Linked DNA regions of Xenopus tropicalis. The protein of the gene in region 1 purifies or fractionates together with the protein of each later gene. This does not show direct contact. Links are inferred from orthologs where the notes say so. Each region holds a gene or a part of one and is shown in the gene's direction. Other genes may lie near its edges. The genes, in order: hip1r and picalm.

Region 1 (12,683 bases):
AAAAGAGAAACACGCCCGCAGTATCCTTTTTAAACAATGCTTTATTTGTGAACCGGGAAATCAGCTGTGATAGGATTTGCTTCCTATAAAATGTTCTCTTTTCAGCTATATGCATTTATCTGCTACAGGCCATTTTTTTTGATATAGGAAATTGAAAAATGGAATTGTTTAGGTCTCTGTAAACCCCAACATCAAATATGACAAATCTAGCTTTGTTATTATTGTTAGGTTAGTATAAGGTTCATCAGAGGCACTTTAAAGCTGTCTTTGTGTTCTTATTTGGATTTTTAGGATTGTAGCAGGTGGCGGGGCTGCCACATGTAAAGCGATTTCAGTAGATCTGGAGGGGAGGTTATTCTTTCAGGAAAGGAGATTTCCCATGAGTGACAAAGTGACCCAAGTCTTATTGCCAGTATGTCTGCCTTTTTTGGAAATACATAGCATGCTACTGTCCCATGTATAAAGACCAATATGGAGAGAAAACACTGGAAGTCCAGTGAGATACAAGCAATCTAAAAGCCTACCCAGAGATTCTTGGGCAAGCCACGACGACTCTGTTGATGCGGTCCTCACCCCGACTGTCTAGCTGCAGTTAAGTTGTGATTGTTAGCCTGAGGGCCAAATGATTTGATCAACTTGAACCAACCCAAGCCACCTTTCATTTGGTGACTAAACGAGCAGATTTTTTAATTTATGATTAGCTTAAGAAAGGATTGCATGGGTGACAGTAGTTAGAGACAGATGGCTTATGACTGTGAAGTGAAATGAGACTGCTGGTCTTGGAAACAACCCAGCACACCTTGTGATATGAAACTAACTAAACAGGTCATTGTTTATTTTGTGTATTACTGGCCTTTTATATATAGTTTACTATTATGCTGCATAAAAAAAAAAAAGACTTTCACAATATGAAATACAGAGTATGTTTTGTGCAGTGAACAAATGTCACGGGATTATTATAATGCAGTTTTCTGTTAAAGCGCTTTACAGTTTTTCTTAATGCAAAATGTAGGAATTATTTTGGGCACTCATCATGAAAAAGGAGCATTTACATTTTGGTCATATGCCATTGGTCTTCCATTACCAAGCAGTTCTATTTTGAGCTGGAAATTTTGCCACGTCCTGCACAAGGTCCTTCGTGATGGACATCCAAATGTAAGTATAATGTAGCTCGCAGACCTTCAGGTACATTTACAGAGCATGTGCAGTGGAATTAATTTTGGACTTGGCTTCAAACATTCCTGCTCTGTGGCTCAGAGAAGTGGACCTGAAGCGGTGCAAAAATGGCACCCACCAGACCCCTCTGTGCTACTCTGCATTTTTTAATCACCAGGTCCCCTGTGGTGCAGTTCAGGGTGAAGAAGTTAGGCATTCCCAGGGGTTTTTCTTACCTGGTTTACTCCCTTTTCTTACTGCCCCACACAAAGGCTAGGGTTACACCACTTGCGGGCTCTCTGTATAGGGAATCAGATGCAATTATTTGTTTTAATGCAAAATGTAGGAATGTAAAGATGTTTCTGAGCAGAATTGACACAACTAAAAATTACATGACACAGCATCATCCTGCTAGCTGTTCAGCCATCTGAATACTTTTCAGATGGTTTTTTTACCTTACTAACAACCCTCTTGATCTGTTCTTTTCAAACCTCTCTACAATCCCACCCCTTGTTTAATAAAATCCCAATACCATATATTCATTATTTTCCCCTATGTACTGGGATTTTCCCCTTGAAATTAAAACATTAATCACCCCTGCACTAAAAAAACTTGAAGATTTCTTCAGATTAAATATAAATAAATATGATGCTTTATAAATATTTGGTAATAACGTTAATCTGTGTTTTTGGCTGAAATGCAATAATTGTTCTGTATATTGCACCTTACCTGAGATTATAAATTTATTCACATCAATTATAATATTAATAAAAAGATCAACTGTCCAAATTAGGGGATTGTTTTATTTTATCATGCTGCATTGCACCGTTTTGAACAAAGGTTTAAACAAGGGGAATAAGGGAAGCTATATGTATTTACACACATTCAACTTTGAAGTTACTGTCATAAGGGTTTTTTATTGTGTGCGTTCCTTTATTGCCATAGTATATGTTTTGTTTTAATATGTTAGTCTTCTAACTGCTCAGTTGAATTGTAGGTGCTGTCAGATTGTCAGCGATACCGCAGTAACATTCGAGAAACAGGAGAGCTGTGGGTGAGTATAAACTAGGGAAACGGGAAAGTAACAGCTGAATCCAAAGAAACTTTGTTTTGAACAATATGTATGTTTATGGTCAGCTTAAGAGCTGGTGATATCTGTCAGCAACTCACAGCATGAGTGTTGGTTATAGCTATAGTAAAATGTTTGGTTCATGAACTCTTAAATAGTTACATATTTGAACAACTCTAAGAAATAAATAATAAAATGGTGTCAATCTACACTAAGTTGTGTGTGCTTAGCTAAAAGGATTTATCAACATTGTCACTGTTGCAAAGGTAAAAGCTGCACATTTCTGTATGTTCATTCTTTTTCCTATAGGGTCATATGCATGATCGTTATGGGCAGCTTGTGAATATTTATACAAAGCTTTTGCTTAATAAAATAAGCTTTCATGTAAAGGTAAGGTTTTATGTATTCATACTCCTACACACACATTTAATTTCCTACTTAGTCTTTGCAATGTATTTTGTCTATTTACTTGTGGCATATTTTTTCCCAAGCACCCAGAATTTCCACCGGGCTTGGAAGTGACTGATGATGTTCTTGAGAAATCCGCTGGCACAGATGTCAACAACATGTACGCTGGTATTTACTGCCTCAAACATATCATTAGTATTGCATAATGTGTTAGTATTCTTGTCTTTCATTTTACATACTTAAACAAATCTTTTTTTACTGCAAAGTTACCAGGTGTTTGTATTTCCTTTTTCTAATTCGTTTTAGATTTCAGCTTACAGTGGAAATGTTCGATTATATGGATTGTGAACTGAAGCTTGCTGAAGCTGGTAGGTAAAAGATCTGGTTCAGTTATTCTAGCGGCAGTACAGACTTTTTTTCCCAAAAAATGTTGCCTTCTGAATAAGTTTAATTTTTTTCTAAATCCTCAAAAAAAATTGTTTAGACAAGGTATTGTATTTTCTGCTGATGCTGCAAGTCTTTGTATAGGGCAATTGGGCGTTGTGACCAGAAGTCATCACATGACAGATTTATTCTAAAAATCCACAATGTAAAGCAGCAATCTTTTACACATCGCAACTCAAACTAATGCAGGCAAGAAAAAAAAAGACATACATTTACAATTCAGACAATGATTTTGAAGTTATACCACAATAATTCTACTGTGTAAATTAGTGGAAAAAAGGTTAAGGGAGAATATGATGAATATATTATTAAAGGAGAAGGAAAGGTAAAAACTAAGTAAGCTTTATCAGAAAGGTATATGTAAATACAGCCATAAGCACTCACAGAAACGCTGCACTGACTTCCCAGACAGCAAATCCTGTTTCTTTTGACACTTTTTCCTGTGCCAGAGACAGGCAGCTCTCTCCCTTCTCCTGCTCCCCCCTCCATCAAGAATGCTAAGAACTCACCCCCCCCCCCTTAGGAATGTGTGATTTGAGCCAATCAGCAGGAAGCTTCCTCATAGTCTTACACATTGAGCATGTTCACTGGTCTTTACAGAGCTCATCTGAATGGGAAAAATATGGGGAGACTTAAGGGCACTATTGAAAGAACTGAAGGTATGCCTGCAGCTTGAGATTAACTCTTTATTAGCCTTTCCTTCTCCTTTAAAGCAGTTAAAAATACAATATGTTTTTTTTTTTAAGCCGCATGTTTACTGGCAACATGCAGAATGCATTGATCAAAGAGAACCAGAAATTAAAACACAATAGGTTAAGGAGATTTTCTGTGTGCCATTCACTATGGCTGCAGGGGGGAAAGGCTACATGTTACAGTATGCCAAAGGAGTTGGTGGGGCCTATTGCTAGAGTATATGTGCAGTGTGTGACTGGAAACTATGCTACATAGTGGACTGCATCACAATTACAGAATAGATGGTATATATAATACTGGTTACCCCATTGGGGGGGATACACAAGAAAAATGTGTAGCAAATGAATAGATTACAGAACAGAATATGTTGTAATATACATCTTTTTTTTGTTAGTTTTCAGGCAGCTTAATAGTTCAATCGCTGTATCTCAGATGGCAGCAGGACAGTGTAAGCTGGCCCCTCTTATTCAAGTCATTCAGGATTGCAGCCATCTCTACCATTACACTGTTAAGCTGATGTTTAAACTCCATTCATGTGAGTATTCCTTCTGCTATAATAATATTTAGCAAAACTCTGAATCATTAATTGAACTTCATTTAATGCGTTTAATTGGTGTAATGAAAAAAAAAACTATTTGTTAAATGTGAGAGGAATTGTTAACTTATATTTATGTTTCAGCTAAATGTACAAGGCAATCTGCAGCAGAAATAAGAGTGGCTAGCAAATGTTACTAGGTAAAAGTTGGAAATTGCTGTTCATTCCAGTCAGTGGAATGCTTAGACTAGAGGTCTTCAGACTTTTTGGGTTTAGGTGTCCCTTTGCAGTCCATTTTGTTGGCATCCATCCAGTAAAATACAGACAGAATCAATGAAAGCCTGACAGTCAACCAATAAAAAGGAAGCACCAAAAAGCTTCTCTGGTGCACAAAGCATCTTTTAATATCACCTCCATTAATAGGTTTGTAGTAAAAATTGTGATTATTAAAAGTTTAAGTCAAATAAGAAATTGTCAAAAAAATGCTTTATGGCTGTATTGGCCACTCACCAGTATATGACTATATTGTAGATATATTTCAATATATGCACCTATTCCCTTCACTTCAAGCAGAATTGCCTTTGTGAGTTGCTAAAATGTTCCTGGATATGAGGTGGGACTGTAGTAATGGCAATGGGCATCCATTCTTTATATAAATGTGTGTGGGTTTTAACATTACAATTGGACTGTATGCACCTTTATTCTATTATGTACAGTGAGGAACATAAGTATTTAAACACCCTGTGATTCTGCAAGTTCTCCCACTTCTGTACCAAATATTAACACTGATTTTCTCAGGTGTTCAAATACTTTTCTCTTGCAGGTGTCTGTGGGACACAGTGACCTTGGGGTATAGTATCTACCAGCAGGAGTCAGGACACTAGAGAGGAAGAAGAGTGCGCAAGCCCCTCCCCTCCCTGCTACTATACCCCCCTTGGCTTCCTGCCATCCTCAGTTTTTTCTCTAGTGTCCCTCAAGGAGACAGGACCTTTACTCTCACTGACTTGTTCTTCGGCCAGACTCAGTCTGGCACAAGGGGTCGACCTTAGGACCTCCACTAGGAGTTTCCTGTTCAGGCTTCCCCCTCTGTGGCACATTAGGCACTGGGGCCAGCCACACTTTTGAACGGCCACACAGATACCCTGGCTCCTTCTAAAAGGAGTACAGAAGCTGTCCAGAACCTGCCTACATCACCTCCATTGCCTGGTCAGTACTGCCCATAGCTATATGTAGGTGCACGACTCCCTCCCTAGTCCTGCCTGGCCGTTTTCAGCGATACCGTTTCTATTTTCCCATGCCTTCCACCGCTTGCGTTCCAAACACCTAAGGGAACGCGTGGCCCTTTCTCCAGCTCACGCGATATTCACTGCTCCTCTTGGCGAGCTTCCTTTGTGCCCTTTTCACTCTCCTCTCTCCTTCCTACCGCGCAACATCTCCTCAGTGACGACCTCACGGGATCCGCTCCAGGACTTCTCCATGTCTCGACTTCTCTCCTTCCTGCAATCAGGGTCGGACAAGGGTCTCTCCTTGGGCTCCCTTAAGTCTCAGATATCGGCACTCTCCGTGCTTTTTCAGCAACGCCTGGCGTCTCTGCCTGACGTGGTCACCTTCCTTCAAGGGGTAGCTCACTAACACCCTCCATTTCGAGATCCCCTACCTCCATGGGACCTCAACCTGGTTCTTTCAGCCCTACAATCACCTCCCTTTGGAAGACTACTTTTCTACTGCCCATTTCCTCAGCCCGTAGAGTGTCCGAACTTAGTGCTCTATCCTGTCAGCCGCCCTATCTGATATTTCATCAGGACCATGCAGTCCTGCGGACTCTTCCTTCCTTCACTCCGAAGGTAGTCTCTTCATTCCACATTAACCAGGACATTACCATCCCCTCCTTTTGTCCTCGACCGAAGTCTCCCAAGCAAGTGGCACTGCACTCCTTAGACCCGGTCAGGGCTCTCAAATTCTACCTGCACCGTACCAAAGAAATCAGATCTACTTCTTCCCTGTTGGTGATCCCCACGGGATCGTGGAAGGGTCTCCAGGCTTCTAAATCCACCGTTTCACGCTGGATCAGGGAAGCTATCCGCAGGGCTTACATTGCTCGGGGCAGAATGCCACCTCCGAGGATCACGACTCATTCTACCAGGGGCATGGGCGCTTCCTGGGCCCTCAGAAATAGAGCCTCAGCCGATCAGGTCTGTAAAGCAGCAACCTGGTCATCCATTCACTCCTTCACCAAATTCTACAGCTTCGAGGTGTTTGCAGCATCTGACACTCACTTCGGTAGAAAAGTACTACAGGCCGCAGTCTTATAAGGCACCAATTGTTCCGCTTCTGCCCACCCGTTAGACAATGGGACAGCTTTGGTATGTCCCCAAGGTCCCTGTGTCCCACAGACACCTGCAAGAGAAAAGGAGATTTTGTGATACTCATCGTTAAATCCTTTTCTCTCAGGATGTCGGTGGGACACAGGGCTTCCCCCCCTGGAAGCGGCCAACATGGAATGCTATCTGCCTAGTTGTATATAGTAATTTCCGTTTTTCGTTATCTGAGGATGGCAGGAAGCCAAGGGGGGTATAGTAGCAGGGAGGGGAGGGGCTTGCGCACTCTTCTTCCTCTCTAGTGTCCTGACTCCTGCTGGTAGATACTATACCCCAAGGTCCCTGTGTCCCACAGACATCCTGAGAGAAAAGGATTTAACAGTGAGTATCACAAAATCTCCTTATTTGCAGCAGTGCAATACAAATAAATTCTTTAAAAATCATACAATGTTATTACCTGAATTTTTTTTTAAATGCTGCCTCTCACAGTGGGAATGCACCTACAATGTGAATTTCAGACCCCTCCATGATTTCTAAGTGGGAGAACTTGCAAAATCGCAGGGTTTAAATACTTATTTTATATACAAATACATTGACCTGTTTATATATTGAACAGTTTTTTAATCTTTATTCAAAGATATACCTTATGTATTATTTATTCTACTCTTAAATCTAGGTCTGCCTCCTGATACTCTACAGGGACATAGAGACCGATTTCATGAACAATTTCATAGGTATGTAAGTAAATTTGAAAGTACATACAGGTATAGGATCTATTATCTGGAAACCCTTTATCCAGAAAGTTGTGAATTATGGGAAGGCCATCTCCCATACTATCCATTATAAGCAAAAAAAATTCTTGATTTTTAAAAATGATTTCCCTTTTCTCCGTAATAATAAAACAGTACCTTGTACTTGATGCCAACTAAGATATAATTCATCTTTACTGGAGGCAAATGATCCTATTGGGTTTAATTAATACTTAAAAGATTTTTCAGTAGACTTTAGGAATGAACATCCAAATTGTAAAAAGATCCCCTTACCTGGAAAACTCCAGGTCCCGAGCATTCTAAATAACCGGTCCTATACCTGTATAAAAAAAAAAAAAATGAATTACAGTGCATATTATGGGTTATTATATTTTCCAGTTTAAAAAACTTCTTCAAACGGGCATCAGACATGCTGTACTTCAAGCGGCTCATTCAGATTCCCCGTCTTCCTGATGTAAGTTTTACTGATCGTCGTGACTTCAACAGTGGACTTTTTTTTTTATTACATATAGAAGCAAGCTAGCTTACTAGTCTGCATAAATTGACATAACTATGTTTGTGTTTTTTTAAATCAGGGTCCACCCAACTTTTTGCGAGCCTCTGCCCTTGCAGAGCATGTTAAACCAGTGGTTGTTATCCCCAATGAAACTCCAGAAGATGAGGAGCCAGCAGAATCATTGATTGAGATCAGCGCAGCTCAGCCTGTGGAGCAGGAGCAGGTAACTGAATTCTTTCTATTATTTTGAAATACAATACACTCCCCAATAACTCCATCATTGCTCACTGCCAGGACAATTATCTTGCCAAATACATCTTATACCTTGAATTAAATGACATTCTTGATTATGCCAAAACTGACTGTGATTTAAGGCTGTAGAATGAGAGATAACTGTATTTTATTAACAGTGGGGGTTCAGGCAGTTTTTTTTAAACAACTAATACCAAAAGCAGGCATAAGGCTGTAGTAATACCAATGACTATTGCATGTGTCTTTTCTCTATTTATTGCTGTTTACATTAACACATTGACCCAAGACACACAGAACACATGTATGAGAAATATTTTTGTGATCTGGAGTGTTTGAGAATTTTGTACAGTACTGTATATTTTTAATGTTTACCTGTAAGAGCCACTTGTTTGAATACAACACATCCCTCAACTATTTCTTTTAAACTTAAAAAAAAAAAAAAATAACATGTAGTTTCCTTTTTATTACATGATTGTTTTTAAGCACTGTTGTAATATATCCAAAATAAAATCTAAATAAAGCCTATTACATTAGGGGGTACTAAATTTAATTCACTAATTTTTTTTCTCTTCAGGGGGAAAAAATTACTAGCCCAGGGTTCTCTCTAAGTGCCACGCCACCATCTTTCCCTATTTTCCCAGGTATCCCTTGTGTCCCACTTGTACGGGGTCGAACTGCAATCGACCCTAACCCACCCGCTCCCAACCCAAACCCTGTCTGACAGTGGACCACTATTTATAGACCTGCGCCTGACCCGCCCATCTCTGACACCACAAAGAGGGGTGGGATGGGGCAGGCATGCCATCTAGAAATAGAGGTTTTCAGAAGTCAAGCAGTGCAGAGTTGCGTGTGGGGTGGGTTGAAGTAGAGCTCAGCTTGAACCTCCCATGACCTGACAATATTGTGCAGCCCGCACATCACTACTATACTGCACAGGTTTATAATATATAAACAAGTATAGGATCTATTATCTGAAATGCTTGGGACCTAAGATTTTCAGAGTAAGTAGTCTTTCCATTATTTGCTAAGTCTGCTTACATTTAGATGTGAAATAAACCCAACCAATATGGATTTTTGTATTGTAGTCAGGATCACGTACAAAGTACTGTTTTCTTATTAAAGAGCAAAAAGGAAATTTTTTTTTTTTTTTTTTTTTTTTTTTAAATTAGATTTGCTTATAGTGGACTCTATGGAAGATGGCCTTTCTGTTTCTGGACAAGGGATCTCATACATATAATATAATGTGTGTGTAATAGTATTGTGCAGACCGGGTAAACCCCCCACAGGAAAAAAAATTTGGCCCAACACGAGCACAACATATTCAGGTTTGCCCTCCCTGCCTGTGACCTAACTGGGCCCCGCTTCCGCATCCAGGGGCATCTATCTATAGGTGCACTCCGCCTCCTCAGTAACATCAGAGATAGGACAGGTCAGGCGCTCGTATATAAATGGATGCAGACCTGCAGGCTAGGTTGGGTGTGGGTTTTGAGTGGGCAGGTTAGGATCGGGGGCAGGTTGACAATTAGTTGACTTGCACATCACTGGTGTTTGTGTGTACATCCACATAATTTACGTAGCACTCACAGGACATGCTTCAAAATAACAAATGCCTTTATTATTTTAGAATCAACATTTTGGTTACATATTCAGACCTTTTTCAAGGTGCCTCTAAATACCCTAGCATAAGTTTTAGTGCCAAATTGTTTAAGCATGACCTCACTAACCCAGTACAGGAATGGGTTCCGTTATGTATAATGCTTGGGACCTGAGGTTTTCTGGATAAAAGGGTCTTTCTGTAATTTGGATCTCCATACCATAAGTCTTCTAAAAAAACAAACAAAAAAAAAACCAGGATTAATTATATCTTAATTGGGATCAAGTGCAAGCTATGTTTTATTATTACAGCTAGTAACTGAATGACGAGTATATAGCGGAGCAGGACCGTATGACAGTAGATGTGGGACAGCTGCACACACCTTAAAAGGGGAAACAGCCCTGGTGCCAACACAAACTGTATTTCAAAAAGAAGCTGTTGCGCTCAAGGGACTTTGCAAAAGAACTTTTAAAACTTCATTTTGATCTTTTATAACCCTCTTGATAAAGACCCCAATGAGGGTCAAAACACTGATATATAAAAATGGAGACAAAAACAAAAATTGTACGGCACAATTTAACTTTTTACCTTTAGTTTTGATATCTGATTAAATTATATCATATTATATTACCAGATTTTGACCTTTGGCACGTTGACCGTTGCAATATACTGCAGTTTTTTTTCTTTCTGTTAGGTTGTGGAAGACTTATTTCAGCAAACCTTTGGTGCTCCTAATGGTCTTATGAAAGATGACAGGTAAAAAAAAAATCTTTTACATTTTACAGTGTTTATCATTTTGATACAAGGGGTTATAACTGTTAAATTAATGTAAATTAATTAATCAAAAATACAAGAGATAACACTAGCATTTTTAAAAAGTTACAATTATAATTAAACATTTCATAGTGGAAAAAGATTTACACGCTGGCGTAATCTGCTTGTTTATTCTTTTTTTTTTTTTTTAGGATAGAACTGTTTAGCCTGATTTAAATATTATACTTCATATTTTTCATATTTTCAGCTGTGTTGCCCTACATCAGTCCAGCTGGAAGCCTGTGTTCTGGATATGACCGTTCAAGGCATTTTTATACCCCAACAGACTTTTTTATAGTATAACCTTATTTTAGTCTGGTCTGCAATATATTGCATATTAGATAGTTGGCTTATTGTGTAGAAAAAGTCAGCACTGCCCTATAAGTTTTTAAATGACTTCTCCTTCTCTTTATTACATATATTGCATATTAAGGACCTAGTTGGCTGTGTTTGCATAATTTTCCTTGTTGTAAAATGGATTTTTATTTTGTGCTTTCTTTGTGTATTGCAATAATCTCTTTATTATGTTTAGGGATCTTCAAATTGAAAATCTGCAAAAGGAAATAGAATTACTACGTGCTGAACTAGAGAAAATAAAGCTGGAGGTGAGACTATCCTTTAATTAGTATGCTAATGCTAGAATTAGAATATTAGTAAATTGTTCAGTACTTTTTAGCTCATAGAGATATAATTATAATACTACAACAACAACAATACTACAACGGATATATTTTTATTTTGCTTTTCTTAAAGGGACAGTAACACCAAAAAATGAAAGTGTATAAAAGTAATTACTATATAATGTAATGCTGCCCTGCACTGGTACAACTGGTGTGTTTTCCTTAGAAAGACTACTATAGTTTATATAATAAAGCTTCTGTGTAGCCACGGGGGCAGCCATTTACAGGAGAAAAGGCACAGGTTACTTAGCAGATAACAGATAAACCCCATTATATTCTACAAAGCTTATCTGTTATCTGATATGTGCCTGTGCCTTTTCTCCTTTTTCCCAGCTTCAATGGCTGCCCCCGTGTTGACATAGCAGCTCATTTATATAAACTATAGTAGCATTTCTGTTGCAAACTTACCAGTTTTACCAGCGCAGGGCAACGGTACATTATATTTTAATTACTTTAAAACACTTTTATTTTTTTGGTGTTACTGTTCCTTTAAGTATAAGCTTCAATAAGCTTGGTATGCAGTGCCTATGTACAGTATCCTTACTTTGTAAGGCACATGTCTTTTGCTGTGCTTGATAATTGTCTCCATAAAATGTGCATTTTATTTAAGATACTAAAAATGTTTATCTTAGCAAACTTTTCTTTTTTATGTTCATTAGGCACAAAAGTACATCTTGCAACTAAAAGGACAAATCAACACATTGGAGGCTGAGCTAGAGGAACAGAGGAAGCAGAAACAAAAGGCTTTAGTAGATAATGAACAGTTGCGGGATGAGTTGGAGAAGCTAAAGAAACAGAAACTGGAAAATGAGAAAACACAAGGGGTCCTCCTGGAAGCAGAGAGTAGGTATTCGGCTAAGGGTGACCATACATGGGTCGATTCTAGCGGCCGTTATTGGTTCCTTCAATCGAATCAGCCAGATCTCGATTGAGCAGGTTTGATTTTGGTTCGGGGACCGCATTGGCTCGTTGATGTGGTCCCCAAACCAACAGGTGCCTATACCCGTTGGTTCTAGGACCAAACGACCAAATCAACCCCATATCGCCCACCTGTAGGTGGGGATATCGGTAAAAGATCTGGTCGCTTGGTAACCTCGCCAAGCGAGCAGATCTTAGCGTGTATGGCCACCTTTAGGTGTTCTTTAACTGAAATGTATAAAGAACTAAATATGTGTGTGCCAATTGTGGGCAGGTTTTTTTTAAAAATATGCAGAACTTCTAAATTATACATTCAATTGTGTTTTGGTAGAGAAGATACAAGCCACAGAGTTACGCTATACCAAACTGAAAGAAAAGCACAATGAGCTCATTAATACCCACGCTGGACTTCTTAGAAAGGTAGCTAATTTTATTTTATATCAGATTTGTTCTTTGTCTCCTTTTGTAACTTGTGAATTTGGAAATAACAAAGATAATTTTTATTTATTAATGTAATTTGATTAAAAACTCCAAAAAG
Region 2 (12,683 bases), on another chromosome or scaffold:
CCCAATTTCAGGCCATATATCGGTCGGGCAGGCCCGTTGGTAGTGCCCATACACGGGCCGATAAGCTGCTGAATTAGTCTAAGGGACCCATATGGGCAGCTAAAATCGGCCTGTGTATGGGCACCATGGAGAAAAGGGGAGGGGGAGTATTTCAGTGCCACATTAGGGATGCACCGAGTCAAGGATTTGGTTTGGGATTTGGCTAGGATTTCACTTTTCAGCAGTGCCTGGCCAATCCGAATCCATCAAATCATGTGACTTTGCGTCACATGAACGTGGAAGTTGAACATTTGCAAATTCAGATTCGGTGCATCTCTATGCCACATACATTTGTTTAAGGGTTAAGACACATGGAGCTACTAGTAGCAGCTACTTTTTCACGGCTACTAAGGGCAGTGGCAGACGGGGATATTAGTCGGCCCGCAATTCCATCCCACCAGCAGGAATGTAAATCGCATGGGATGGCATACGCATCAGTACGATTATCCTTGAGGGGAAACTTTAGGAGACTTTGGCAAATCATAGCGAAGCTTATGCCATCCCACCGCGATTTACATTCTTGCCGGTAGGATGGCATTGCGGGGAGAATAGTTGCCTGCGGCAAGGAAGATTTGTCACGTGGCGACTAGTCTCCCCATCTGCCACTGCCCTAAATGCCAGAAAATACCCTGCCTTAGGCCTGTGGCACACAGGGAGATTAGTCGCGGGCGACAAATCTCCCTGATATGACATCCCACCGGCGAGAATGGCGGGATGGAATACGCGATGCCGAAATAGCGGAAGTTTCCTCTCGAGGCAACTTCGGCAATATCGGCAAATCGCCGGCGCCGCGTATGCCATCCCACCTGCGACTTACATTCTCGCCGGTGGGATGTCATATCGGGAAGAATAGTCGCCAGCGACAAGGGAGATTAGTTGCTTTAGAGTGTCTTCACTCTAAAGGTTATAAAGGCCACTGTGCATGGGGGGACTGGTACCTTTAGCAACATTAATAATCTATATTTTAACCAGGGTTGGAACGTAAACGCCAAAGATTGCCTTCCACTGCCCTTTATAAGAATTTTCTGAAAGTCTTCATGCCAGAAACATCTGGGAATTCTGGACTGTGTCCTAAGGCTACTAAGGAAAAAGTAGGCAGCCCAAGGCAGGCAGTGAAAGGGCTTCGCAATCCTTACACTAGTGCTTAGTACAGAGCAGTACCCATGTTGTACCCAGTAATAACATCTTTTGCTACATGCTCTGACGCGAGATATCCCTTCTATAGTGGCTTTATAGTGAGCCATAGAGAGAGATACTCAAGATATGTCCCACTTTTGCATCTTTATAGTATTATAACACAGTAGGAGGGCTATGGTAGGTGATAGGGCAGCCAGCCTGGGACAGTGTCTGATTGGGCAGGGCTAAAACTACAAGCCGAGCCAGTAAATCAGGGCAGAATAAGCAATGGGATAATTAATGGATCTTGAGGAATAAGAGAGCCTGTTTTATTCAGTGTTTTAATGTAATATATTACAAATACATTTTAAATTGATTCACACACAGAGTGTTTATCTGGCTCTGTTTATAATAGGAACAATCCCATTTCCCTGAAATCCTTGTCTGTCCTGCTTAGTGCTCTGTAGGGTATCCACAGAACTGGCTGTTGGGAAGATCTGCTGGAACAGAGATGGGAGGCAATTGTTTAGATCCTCCATGCATTTTTATGTGACCCCCGGGGGCCTTATATAGAGGCTAGAGCCCAGGCAGTACTATATATTGTGCTGAGCAGCGGGCAGAGTATGAATGGTTGTTTAATTAAGCATCAAAATAAACTCAATTCAGCTGCAGTTACGGAGTGTTACTGAGGTGTTAATGGGTTTTCCCTTGAGATTATTCCCAGTTCTGTGGAGTTGCCATTGTAATATTGATTTGCTATTTTCTGTCAGTACTCTCTTCCATTGCAGTTATAAATGGGCAGGATGTTTAACCCATTAACCACTCTGCGGTTTAACTATGTACATGATTAGTGTTACCTGCAATTAGCAGTCAGGAAACCATAAAGCTAAATGGCTTTCTGTTATCTGAAATAGATAATATTCACATGCTATCAGCTGAGAAGCAGAAAATCCCTTGGGTATAATGTATGGGATCAGGAGACCTCTTATCCAGAAAGTTCCCTAATATATAAAGTTTCCCATCATTTTCCCATGCTGTATAATTCTTTGATTTGACTGATTCTTTATCTCTAAAACAGTACATATAAACTGAACTTGATATTACGATAGCATAAATCTACGTAGGAGGCGTAACATTCCTCTGAATTATCGACCTGATACTTTTCATACCATAGCGATTGGTCGTTGAGTCAATCGAACAGAACATTTTGGTCGGATAACGATATCTGCCCATTTGTGATGTGCAGGGTCAAGATTTTCTCAACGCACACTTGACCTTAAACCGGCTAGTCCCCTCTATTTATAGACCCGCGCCTGACCCACCCACTGCTGATGTCACAAAAGGGGAGGGGCAGGGGCGGCATGCACCTATAAATAAGAGAGCCGGAACTGGGAAGCTGACAGTGTTGAAGGAGATTTTTGTTGATCAGTCATTTGCACTTCATCTGGAGATGCCTCCTTGTTTATACTCTGAGATATCTGCATAACACGTCGCCAGTGGGGAGAGCAAGTAGAACCAAAACCACCCGCAACCCGGAAATCTTGTGCAGAGGCAAACCTACGGAAGTTGGGCCGGCCCCCACATCACTACTGCACATGTATTGTGTATCTGACAATATCCATGGGGGACCTACAGTGCATTTCTGGGGCATGACTTTTCATACAATTGTTGCCTGGGGATTATCCAATGGCCAAAACCTGGTCTGATTTTTTTATTTTTATGACTTATATATTATAAATTGATATCCTACAATTTCAGGCTGAATGTTAGTGCTCACTCCATGCATCTAGCAGTGGTTGGGTCCCTGCCACAAGTAATGGCAGCCGAATACCATGCCTTTTACAGGTGCAGGGATCTTTCCTTAAGCAAATAAAGTGCATTTCTTGCATAATAACTGCAAGTGATCACATGATGCAACTGTCCGTCCCGTACCAAATAAAGTTGTGTATTTTGAACAGTTATAGTGAGCAGTCCTCTCAATCAGCCCTTAATTTTTTTTTTTATATATAATATATAGAATGTGAATTATTGTTACTGATAACAATATACAATAATACTGTGTGCCGTACACTAAATACAGGGCTTCTCTTCCCCTAGGATACGACATGTCTACGTTTATTAGGCGATACAGTCGGTACTTGAATGAAAAGGCAGTTTCCTACAGACAAGTTGCTTTTGATTTCACCAAAGTAAAAAGAGGGTAAGGATTTTATTATTATTTCCGTTACCTTTTTACCTATGTGTAACTTGAATCCATGCTGTGATAGTTTAGTATATGGATACCCTGTGCTGTAAGAGAGATAAAACCATTTAAAGTGACAGTAACACTACAGTTGGCCTGCAGTGCCGGTGGAACATAGGGATTCAGGTTGCTAGTACTTTATGGAAGTATGTATGTATGTGTGTATATGTTTATTTATAAAGTGCTACTTATGTACCCAGCGCTGTACAGTAGAATACATTAAGACAAACAGGGGGTTATTAAGATAATAATAGATAAATACAAAGTATAACTATAAATACAAATAAATACAAGATACAGTTGCAATAAGTTAAGAGTCAAAGACACAAGAGGAAGGAGGTCCCTGCCCCGTAGAGCTTACAATCTATATGGGAGGGTAACTTACAGACACAAATAGGCAAATATAAGTGCTGTAGGTCACAGTGGGTGCCCAGCAATCCCATTGCCTTAAGGGTGAAGGCACACAGAGCTACTAGTGGCAGCTACTTGTCATGGCTACCAAAACAGAGAATGCTGATCATTTTACTGATAATTGTCTCTACGTGTGTTTAGCAGAGGCAATTCTCAGTATTGTCTATGGCAGGGGATTTTCTGGAGTTTAGTAACTGTGACAAGTAGCTGCTACTTAGTAGCTCTGTGTGTCTTCACCTTAAAGGGGTTATTCATCTTTCAGTTAACTTTTTGTATGACACAGACATTGAGATTCTGAGACAAGTTGCAAAACATTTTCTTTTTTGTGGTTTTTCATTTGGAATTTCAGCAGCTATCTGGCTGCTAGGGTCATGTTTACCTTAACAACCAGGCATTGGTTTGAACGAGAGACTGGAATAGGAGAGATACTGAATATAAAGATAAGCAATTAGAAATAACAATAATAGAAGAACATTCTGAGCTCACAGGCAAAGGTTTTGTGAGCTTGTATGCATGATTGTAATTAAGCTTCATCCGTCCATATTGGGTTTTTAGCCTTCCGGATAATAGATCCCATAAAGCATTGCTTTCATAGAATTGTGTAGTTTGGGAAGTGGTTGATACAGGACCCCCCTATATTTTAATATTGACCAAAAAGACCATCATTATATTGGGCCTTGAAATTTCATTGTATCAGAAAATTTAGACTGATGGTTTTAAATTTTTTTTTCCTTCCAGGACTGATGGAGTGATGAGGACAATGAGTACAGAAAAGCTACTAAAGACAATGCCCATTATACAGAACCAAATGGACGCGCTGCTTGATTTCAATGTAAGTATTTTACTCATTTGTCTCAAGGTCCCCGGGTCCTCCATACATCTGCTCAGTCCCCTATGGGACCTGGTATTTATTCTACTGTCTGATGTTGTTCCCTTACCCGGCCTGGTGAATAGGTACACTGAGTGCCTGCACACACACCGTTTATTTATGTAACATCCTGATTCTTAACCTTGGATACCCAGATGTTTCTGGACTGCATCTCTAAGCACTTTGTAAAGGAACACTCTCATGGGAAAACATTTTTTCAAAACCCATCAGTTAATAGAGCTTCCCCAGCAGAATCCTGCATTGTAATCTGTTTTTCCCATGGGGCTGATATCCCCCCCTCACCCCCAGCAGCCGATCAGCAGAACAATGGGAAGGGAGCAAGATAGCAGCTCCCAGTAGGTATCAGAATAGCACTCAATAGTAAGAAATCCAAGTCCGGCTTGGGACTCCTCCAGTTACATGGGAGTAGGAGAAACAATAGGTTAGCTGAAAGCAGTTCTAATGTGTAGCGCTGGCTCTTTCTGAAAGCTCAGACTCAGGCACACTTTACTGCTGCGCTGCAAGTTGGAGTGATATCCCCCCCCCCCCCCTCATTCCCAGCAGCCGATCAGCAGAACAATGGGAAGGGAGCAAGATAGCAGCTCCCAGTAGGTATCAGAATAGCACTCAATAGTAAGAAATCCAAGTCCGGCTTGGGACTCCTCCAGTTACATGGGAGTAGGAGAAACAATAGGTTAGCTGAAAGCAGTTCTAATGTGTAGCGCTGGCTGAAAGCTCAGACTCAGGCACACTTTACTGCTGCGCTGCAAGTTGGAGTGATATCCCCCCCCCCCCCCCCTCATTCCCAGCAGCCGATCAGCAGAACAATGGGAAGGGAGCAAGATAGCAGCTCCCAGTAGGTATCAGAATAGCACTCAATAGTAAGAAATCCAAGTCCGGCTTGGGACTCCTCCAGTTACATGGGAGTAGGAGAAACAATAGGTTAGCTGAAAGCAGTTCTAATGTGTAGCGCTGGCTGAAAGCTCAGACTCAGGCACACTTTACTGCTGCGCTGCAAGTTGGAGTGATATCTCACCCCCTCACCCCCAGCAGCCGATCAGCAGAACAATGGGAAGGGAGCAAGATAGCAGCTCCCAGTAGGTATCAGAATAGCACTCAATAGTAAGAAATCCAAGTCCGGCTTGGGACTCCTCCAGTTACATGGGAGTAGGAGAAACAATAGGTTAGCTGAAAGCAGTTCTAATGTGTAGCGCTGGCTGAAAGCTCAGACTCAGGCACAATGCACTGAGATGGCGCCTACACACCAATATTACAGCTACAAATACATTTGTTGGTTCAAGAATAAAGGGTTAAATGGCAAAGGGAATTATTTGCTGTGTAACAGTGTCATTTAGAAATAAATAGTGCCCCATAAATATCATGACAGTGTCACTTTAACATACTGAAAAATGGTATTTAAAACCTGCCCGGTAGATACCTGGCACAATTCATGGACCAATAAGCTGCAGACTGCATGGAGAAGCCAAGCCAACAGCTTTTATTGGCCCACTTTAACATTGGATTTGCAGATTAGCTTTTATTTATTATGCCGGTGCCTCATGTAATTTTTTTTTGTTTGTTTACAAAAACCTTTTGATTGTAATCAGTGAGACGTGGCCTCCCCCAGGAGCAGCTCCTACTCCATAGACTGGTGGCTTTATTAATGTGGTTACAGTGCAGAGATAACAGGAGACAGACTCTATTAAGTAGGAAAATAACAGCTCTTTCAACTTACACCTGAACGGATCCTGTCCTTACTTTGTGTTCCTTATTGTACATTTCCACTCAGTGCCAATGAAAAGCCAAGGTAATGTTACTGCAATCTCTTGCTTTGGTGCAAGGCACCCAGGGGAGTCTGAGCAGCGACACCCACCCATACTGGGAGCTGCCTAATAACCCCCCCAGCTACAGTCAAATGGCCGGTCAGCCTGTGAGTGCAAGCCTGCTGGCCGAGTCCGAGCTGCACCCCCTGGGGAATACACAGCTTGCTAGAAGGGGGGCCCCTGGGGTGATATTGTGGCGTTCCTCGAAGGAAAAAGATCTTAGTTTTTAGGTTTCGAATTCAGTTCGGTATTCGGACCAATCCTTCAGGGTGGGTTCAGGAGTTCGGCTAAACCAAAAAAGGTGTTCGGTGCATCCCTAATTGTGTCCCCCATATACAAAGGGATACCCCATAGGGCTTTGTCTCGCAACCTTCTCCAGACGCTGCTGTGGAACTACTTTCTAGTCTTGTGTCTCGTTTGCTCCAGTAACAGCTCATTGGTGCGCGGGTAAGAAGGAGATTGCTGAACTGCAAGGCTTCAAATGCAATGTCAATATAGGCCCCATTTAAGGGAATTTACCTTTAATTTAACTTTAATATGCTAGAGTGACCAATACCGAGCAACTTTTCAATAGGTCTTCATTATTTATTTATTTCAGTTTTTTTCAATTATTTGCCGTCACCTTCTGATTCTTTCCACATTTCAAATTTGGGTCACTGACCCCGGCAGCCAAAAAACGATTGCTCTGTGAGGCTCCAGTTTTATTGTTACTTTTTATTACTTACCTTTCTACTCAGCCCTCTCCTATTCATATACCAGTCACTCTCTCAAGCCACTCCCTGGTTACTAAGGTAATTTGCACCCTAGCAACCCAATAGCTGTTACATCTCCAAACTGGAGAGTTGTTGAACAATAATTGAAATAATTAAAAAAAAAAAAAAAAAAAACTACAAATAATAAAAAATGAAGACCAATTGCAAATTGCCTGAGAATATTACTCTGTACATCATACTAACAGATGACACGGTGCCTTCATGCATTTCCTTGTTCTGTCCCTCTAGGTTAATGCCAACGAGCTGACAAACGGGGTAATTAATGCTGCCTTTATGCTCCTCTTCAAAGATGCCATACGACTGTTTGCTGCATACAATGAAGGGATAATTAATTTGTTAGGTGAGTATGAGTAACGTGTGGGTGCTGTATGCATCTTGGGTTTCATCGTTTAAAGGGGAACTTAAGCCAAACACAACTTATACATATACAGCAGTTAAAAATATGCAGCCTTTTAATGATGATTAATGTAGAGATGCACTGAATAATGAATCCAGTATTTAGTTCGGTTCAAACTGAAATCATGTGACTTTTGGTCATGTAAACACGGAACTTGAACTTTTTTTGCACGCACAACAAAATTTAACCCTTCCAGAAGGATTCGGAGGTTCGGCGGGATCCAAAAAATTCAATGCATCCCTAGTTTAATGTAATATTGTGGTTTGGAACAGTTCCCTAAGCCCCGCCCCCTGTTCCCTAAGCCCCGCCCTCTGTTCCCCTGCTGTTCTGGCTGGCTACTTTGTGACTCAAATAAAATGTAACAGTAGTCCCCTCCCCTCAGCCTGCCTCCTCCCAATCCCACAATTCCCTGCTGCACACGTGATGTCAATAAGGAAAGGAACATCCCAGTGCAATGCATTGTGGGTTATGTAGTTCCTGCATGCTGTCTGTAAGCTGTGGGGAAGTTGTTACAATCTGTAACATCAGTGGTTTAGTCCCTCCTCCCCTGCCAGGATTACAAATGATGCAGAAAGAGTAGAACAGTTTTGCAGCTGGATTTCAGCCTATAAACATGGGATTTATTCCTACTGTTTGAAGGAACAGATTACAGGGATAGGGATATTAGGGGTTTCTGTGAAATTGTTATTGTAATTGCCCCTTATTAGTGAGGTTGATGTAACGAGGCTGTTTTCTGTCTCTAGAAAAATATTTTGACATGAAGAAAAATCAGTGTAAAGAAGGCCTCGATATCTATAAGAAATTCCTGACACGGATGACCCGGATTTCCGAATTCCTGAAAGTAGCAGAGGTGAGTCTAGTAAAATTCTTGGGAAGGCTTTATTTAGTTCAATAAGTTATTTGCAGTTGGTCTTCATTTTTTTTATTTGTTTTGGTTTTTGAATTATTTAGCTTTTTACCCCAATATACAGGCAGCATTTTATTTGAGAGACTGGAATATGAAAAGAAAGATAAGGGGGCTGAAAAGAAAGATGAGGAATAAAAAGTAACAATAAAACTGGAGCCTCACAGAGCAATAGTTTTGGCTGAGGGGGTCAGTGACCCCCTATTACAAAGATCGAAAGAGAGACAAGAAAGCAAATTAGAAAATGTAAGACCGATTAAAAAAAGTTGCTAGGAGTAGGCCATTCTATAACTTACTAAGCGGTAACTTTAAGCTGCACTGCCCCTTTAAGGGAAATACTGGGAGTACTTGGCAGTAACCGGCAGTTTCCTGTGTCCCTGCGACTCATCGGGGAATCATGGCCATTGCATATGGCTGCCTGTGTTTGGCGCCCACGGCCCCGCTATTTATAAGCCTGCTATTATATTCATAATGTTCCCTATTATGGTGTGCGGCTTTCTGTGCATCGGAATGTTTGCTTTTGTATATCTTACCGGGTTTGTTTATGGGAGCAACGTTAGCAATAACCGTACAAATGGCAGACTCTGTGCCAGGCTACACTACCTGTTTATGGAAAACTAAAAAGTTGGCCGTTGCCATGGTCACCACTTGAGTATGGAGGGGAAAACGGACAAATAGCAGGTCACCTTGAAATAAACTTTGGTGCAGAGAATGCTATTCTGAGACCATTTGCAATTGGTCTTCATTTTTTATTTTTTGAATTATTTAGTGCTGCAGCGTTTAGTTTAGAATTTCAACAGCTATCTGGTTGCTGGGGTCTGGTTTAACCTAGCAACCAGCCAGTGGTTTGAAAGAGAGATAGGAATGTGAATAAAAGGGGGCCTAAATAGAAAGATAACTATTACAGAGTAACAATAACAATACAATTGTAGCCTCACAGAGCAACAGTGTTTGGCTGCCGGGGTCAGTGACCCCTATTGGAAAGCTGGAAGGCCTGAACCTGCAACAGGAACCACTGTGGCTTCACACTTGTATGTTCTTATATTTTAAACTCATTTAGTGTTGTTTGTAATTTCAGCAAGTTGGGATCGATCGAGGAGATATACCTGATCTCTCTCAGGTGAGCAACAAAAGCCTGTGTAACTGCAATTATGGGCTTGGGTGGGAGTTTGTGGGGAGCATGGGTGGGGTTTGTGGGGAGCATGGGTGGGGTTTGTGGGGAGCATGGGTGGGGTTTGTGGGGAGCATGGGTGGGGTTTGTGGGGAGCATGGGTGGGGTTTGTGGGGAGCATGGGTGGGGTTTGTGGGGAGCATGGGTGGGGTTTGTGGGGAGCATGGGTGGGACATTGGGGGGGGTTGGGGACTTATATTTGTTGGCAGGGCCCTCTACCCAGGTAACCAGAGGGTTAATCTTGACTACTTACTTAGTTGCATGGGGCCCCCTTCTTTCCTGATGGCAGCCCTGTTGATAGGTGTGTGTGTGTGATGGATGGGAGCTGCCATATTGTTTCCATTAAACCCATCACTGCACAAACACAGGAGCTGCCATGTTATTTATGCTTAGGTGTAGCAGCATGAAGAGCAAATACGGTGATTATTTGGCATTGCTCTGTGTGGATAATCTTCATATTAAAGGATTACAAAGTATAATTCCTGCTGCATATTAGTATTTATTCCTATGGGTGACGTCTGACATGCTACCAGCACCTCATATAAAGCTTTTCTTCCTTACTATATGTGCGTATGGAAAATGATTCCCCTTTATTATTATATCCTGTGTTTCCATGACTGTGCCTCTCCTTTTGGGGGTTACGGTTCAGTATATTTAGGGCTGGGATTTTCCCATGACCTTGCTATGGCCATGCTAGTACCTGTATGTTCCAAATGCTGGCAAATAAATGCCCTTTGCTGCGTGCATATCTCTCCTTATCTGCTACAGGCTGGCCCTGACTGACGAGCAGAGGGATAAAGGACTAACAAGGTTCATGGGAAAATATTTTTCTAAGAAATTTTTAGATCTGCTAATAGATTGCTAGTAAAGTGCTCCCATAATGCACTGTGTAGCCAAGCGCAGGAATGCCTTCTGGATCCCATTCTCCCTCACCAGCGGCCCGGCCAGCACATACAGAACATTTTTGGAGTATCTGCCCAAATGGCTGCTTTACAGCTGCACAGGCAGCAAATGGCGGAGCAAGTGAAGATGTTTTACCCATTAATACTGCTCTGATGTGTTTCCAGGCAGAGAGGGTCTAAACCAACACTTGTGTATTGGGCCCAAGGGAAAACCTGTATATATGTGTCCTGGAAAGCTGTTTGTATGGTCCTGAGATCTATAGAATACTGTCAGTATCCCTACAATTCCATTAAACGCACATTTAGAGCAGAATATATTGGAAGGAATTCCAGATATTTAGCAGGCAGGAGGCGGCCATTCATTCCCCACTCCTCAGCTGGAACCTCTAATCCCTAATGTTCGCTTTTGGCAGGAACTCGTAGGCTGGGATTAATTAGTGTTCACCAATCTGTTATGGAACCTCAGAAACATAGTGTGGAAGGCAAAGCTGCTGGTTGTTCAGATTGATCTATAGTCTGCCCTGTGGGTATTACCCCGTGCGCTGTATATATATAATCATATCCTTATAAACAGCATCTTCCCATGTCAGATGCTACATACAGTAGGGGTACATTATCCCTTATAATACATGAGTGATACTCAGAGTTCCCTGTATAACTCAGCCTGCAGCCTTGTGCCTTTATATGGGCACAGAACCCCTCAGTGACTGCTAATATCCTTATCATTTACAGTAGGGGGTACATTATCCCTTATAATACATGAGTGATACTCAGAGTTCCCTGTATAACTCAGCCTGCAGCCTTGTGCCTTTATATGGGGGGCACAGAACCCCTCAGTGACTGCTAATATCCTTATCATTTACAGTAGGGGGTACATTATCCCTTATAATACATGAGTGATACTCAGAGTTCCCTGTATAACTCAGCCTGCAGCCTTGTGCCTTTATATGGGGGGCACAGAACCCCTCAGTGACTGCTAATATCCTTATCATTTACAGTAGGGGGTACATTATCCCTTATAATACATGAGTGATACTCAGAGTTCCCTGTATAACTCAGCCTGCAGCCTTGTGCCTTTATATGGGCACAGAACCCCTCAGTGACTGCTAATATCCTTATCATTTACAGTAGGGGGTACATTATCCCTTATAATACATGAGTGATACTCAGAGTTCCCTGTATAACTCAGCCTGCAGCCTTGTGCCTTTATATGGGGGGCACAGAACCCCTCAGTGACTGCTAATATCCTTATCATTTACAGTAGGGGGTACATTATCCCTTATAATACATGAGTGATACTCAGAGTTCCCTGTATAACTCAGCCTGCAGCCTTGTGCCTTTATATGGGCACAGAACCCCTCAGTGACTGCTAATATCCTTATCATTTACAGTAGGGGGTACATTATCCCTTATAATACATGAGTGATACTCAGAGTTCCCTGTATAACTCAGCCTGCAGCCTTGTGCCTTTATATGGGCACAGAACCCCTCAGTGACTGCTAATATCCTTATCATTTACAGTAGGGGTACATTATCCCTTATAATACATGAGTGATACTCAGAGTTCCCTGTATAACTCAGCCTGCAGCCTTGTGCCTTTATATGGGCACAGAACCCCTCAGTGACTGCTAATATCCTTATCATTTACAGTAGGGGGTACATTATCCCTTATAATACATGAGTGATACTCAGAGTTCCCTGTATAACTCAGCCTGCAGCCTTGTGCCTTTATATGGGCACAGAACCCCTCAGTGACTGCTAATATCCTTATCATTTACAGTAGGGGGTACATTATCCCTTATAATACATGAGTGATACTCAGAGTTCCCTGTATAACTCAGCCTGCAGCCTTGTGCCTTTATATGGGCACAGAACCCCTCAGTGACTGCTAATATCCTTATGGGAATATTTCTGGATAGAACGCAGTGCCACTAATAGCACACATTAGATTTGCAAATTGATATTTTGCTTGCTAATATGAAATAAATGGGTGCTAGGGGGTTTTATTGCTATAATATGGTTAGACTTCCTGTCTTT

What was found.
Region 2: the proteins of hip1r (region 1) and picalm fractionate together in Homo sapiens (co-fractionation; 3 studies listed by BioGRID and IntAct, with this or other methods). This does not show direct contact. The link is inferred for Xenopus tropicalis from reciprocal best matches to the Homo sapiens genes HIP1R and PICALM.

The regions. Positions count from the first base shown.
Region 1 is NC_030677.2:161,483,311-161,495,993, reverse strand, and holds part of hip1r (huntingtin-interacting protein 1-related protein), read left to right. Parts: coding exon 1-20; intron 21-1,012; coding exon 1,013-1,155; intron 1,156-2,152; coding exon 2,153-2,209; intron 2,210-2,533; coding exon 2,534-2,614; intron 2,615-2,715; coding exon 2,716-2,792; intron 2,793-2,938; coding exon 2,939-3,000; intron 3,001-4,163; coding exon 4,164-4,304; intron 4,305-7,298; coding exon 7,299-7,356; intron 7,357-7,770; coding exon 7,771-7,846; intron 7,847-7,967; coding exon 7,968-8,111; intron 8,112-10,428; coding exon 10,429-10,490; intron 10,491-11,079; coding exon 11,080-11,152; intron 11,153-11,886; coding exon 11,887-12,070; intron 12,071-12,476; coding exon 12,477-12,565; intron 12,566-12,683. UniProt on the Homo sapiens protein: Component of clathrin-coated pits and vesicles, that may link the endocytic machinery to the actin cytoskeleton. Binds 3-phosphoinositides (via ENTH domain).
Region 2 is NC_030678.2:171,686,075-171,698,757, reverse strand, and holds part of picalm (phosphatidylinositol-binding clathrin assembly protein), read left to right. Parts: intron 1-3,252; coding exon 3,253-3,355; intron 3,356-4,546; coding exon 4,547-4,640; intron 4,641-7,500; coding exon 7,501-7,612; intron 7,613-8,412; coding exon 8,413-8,519; intron 8,520-9,651; coding exon 9,652-9,693; intron 9,694-12,683. UniProt on the Homo sapiens protein: Cytoplasmic adapter protein that plays a critical role in clathrin-mediated endocytosis which is important in processes such as internalization of cell receptors, synaptic transmission or removal of apoptotic cells.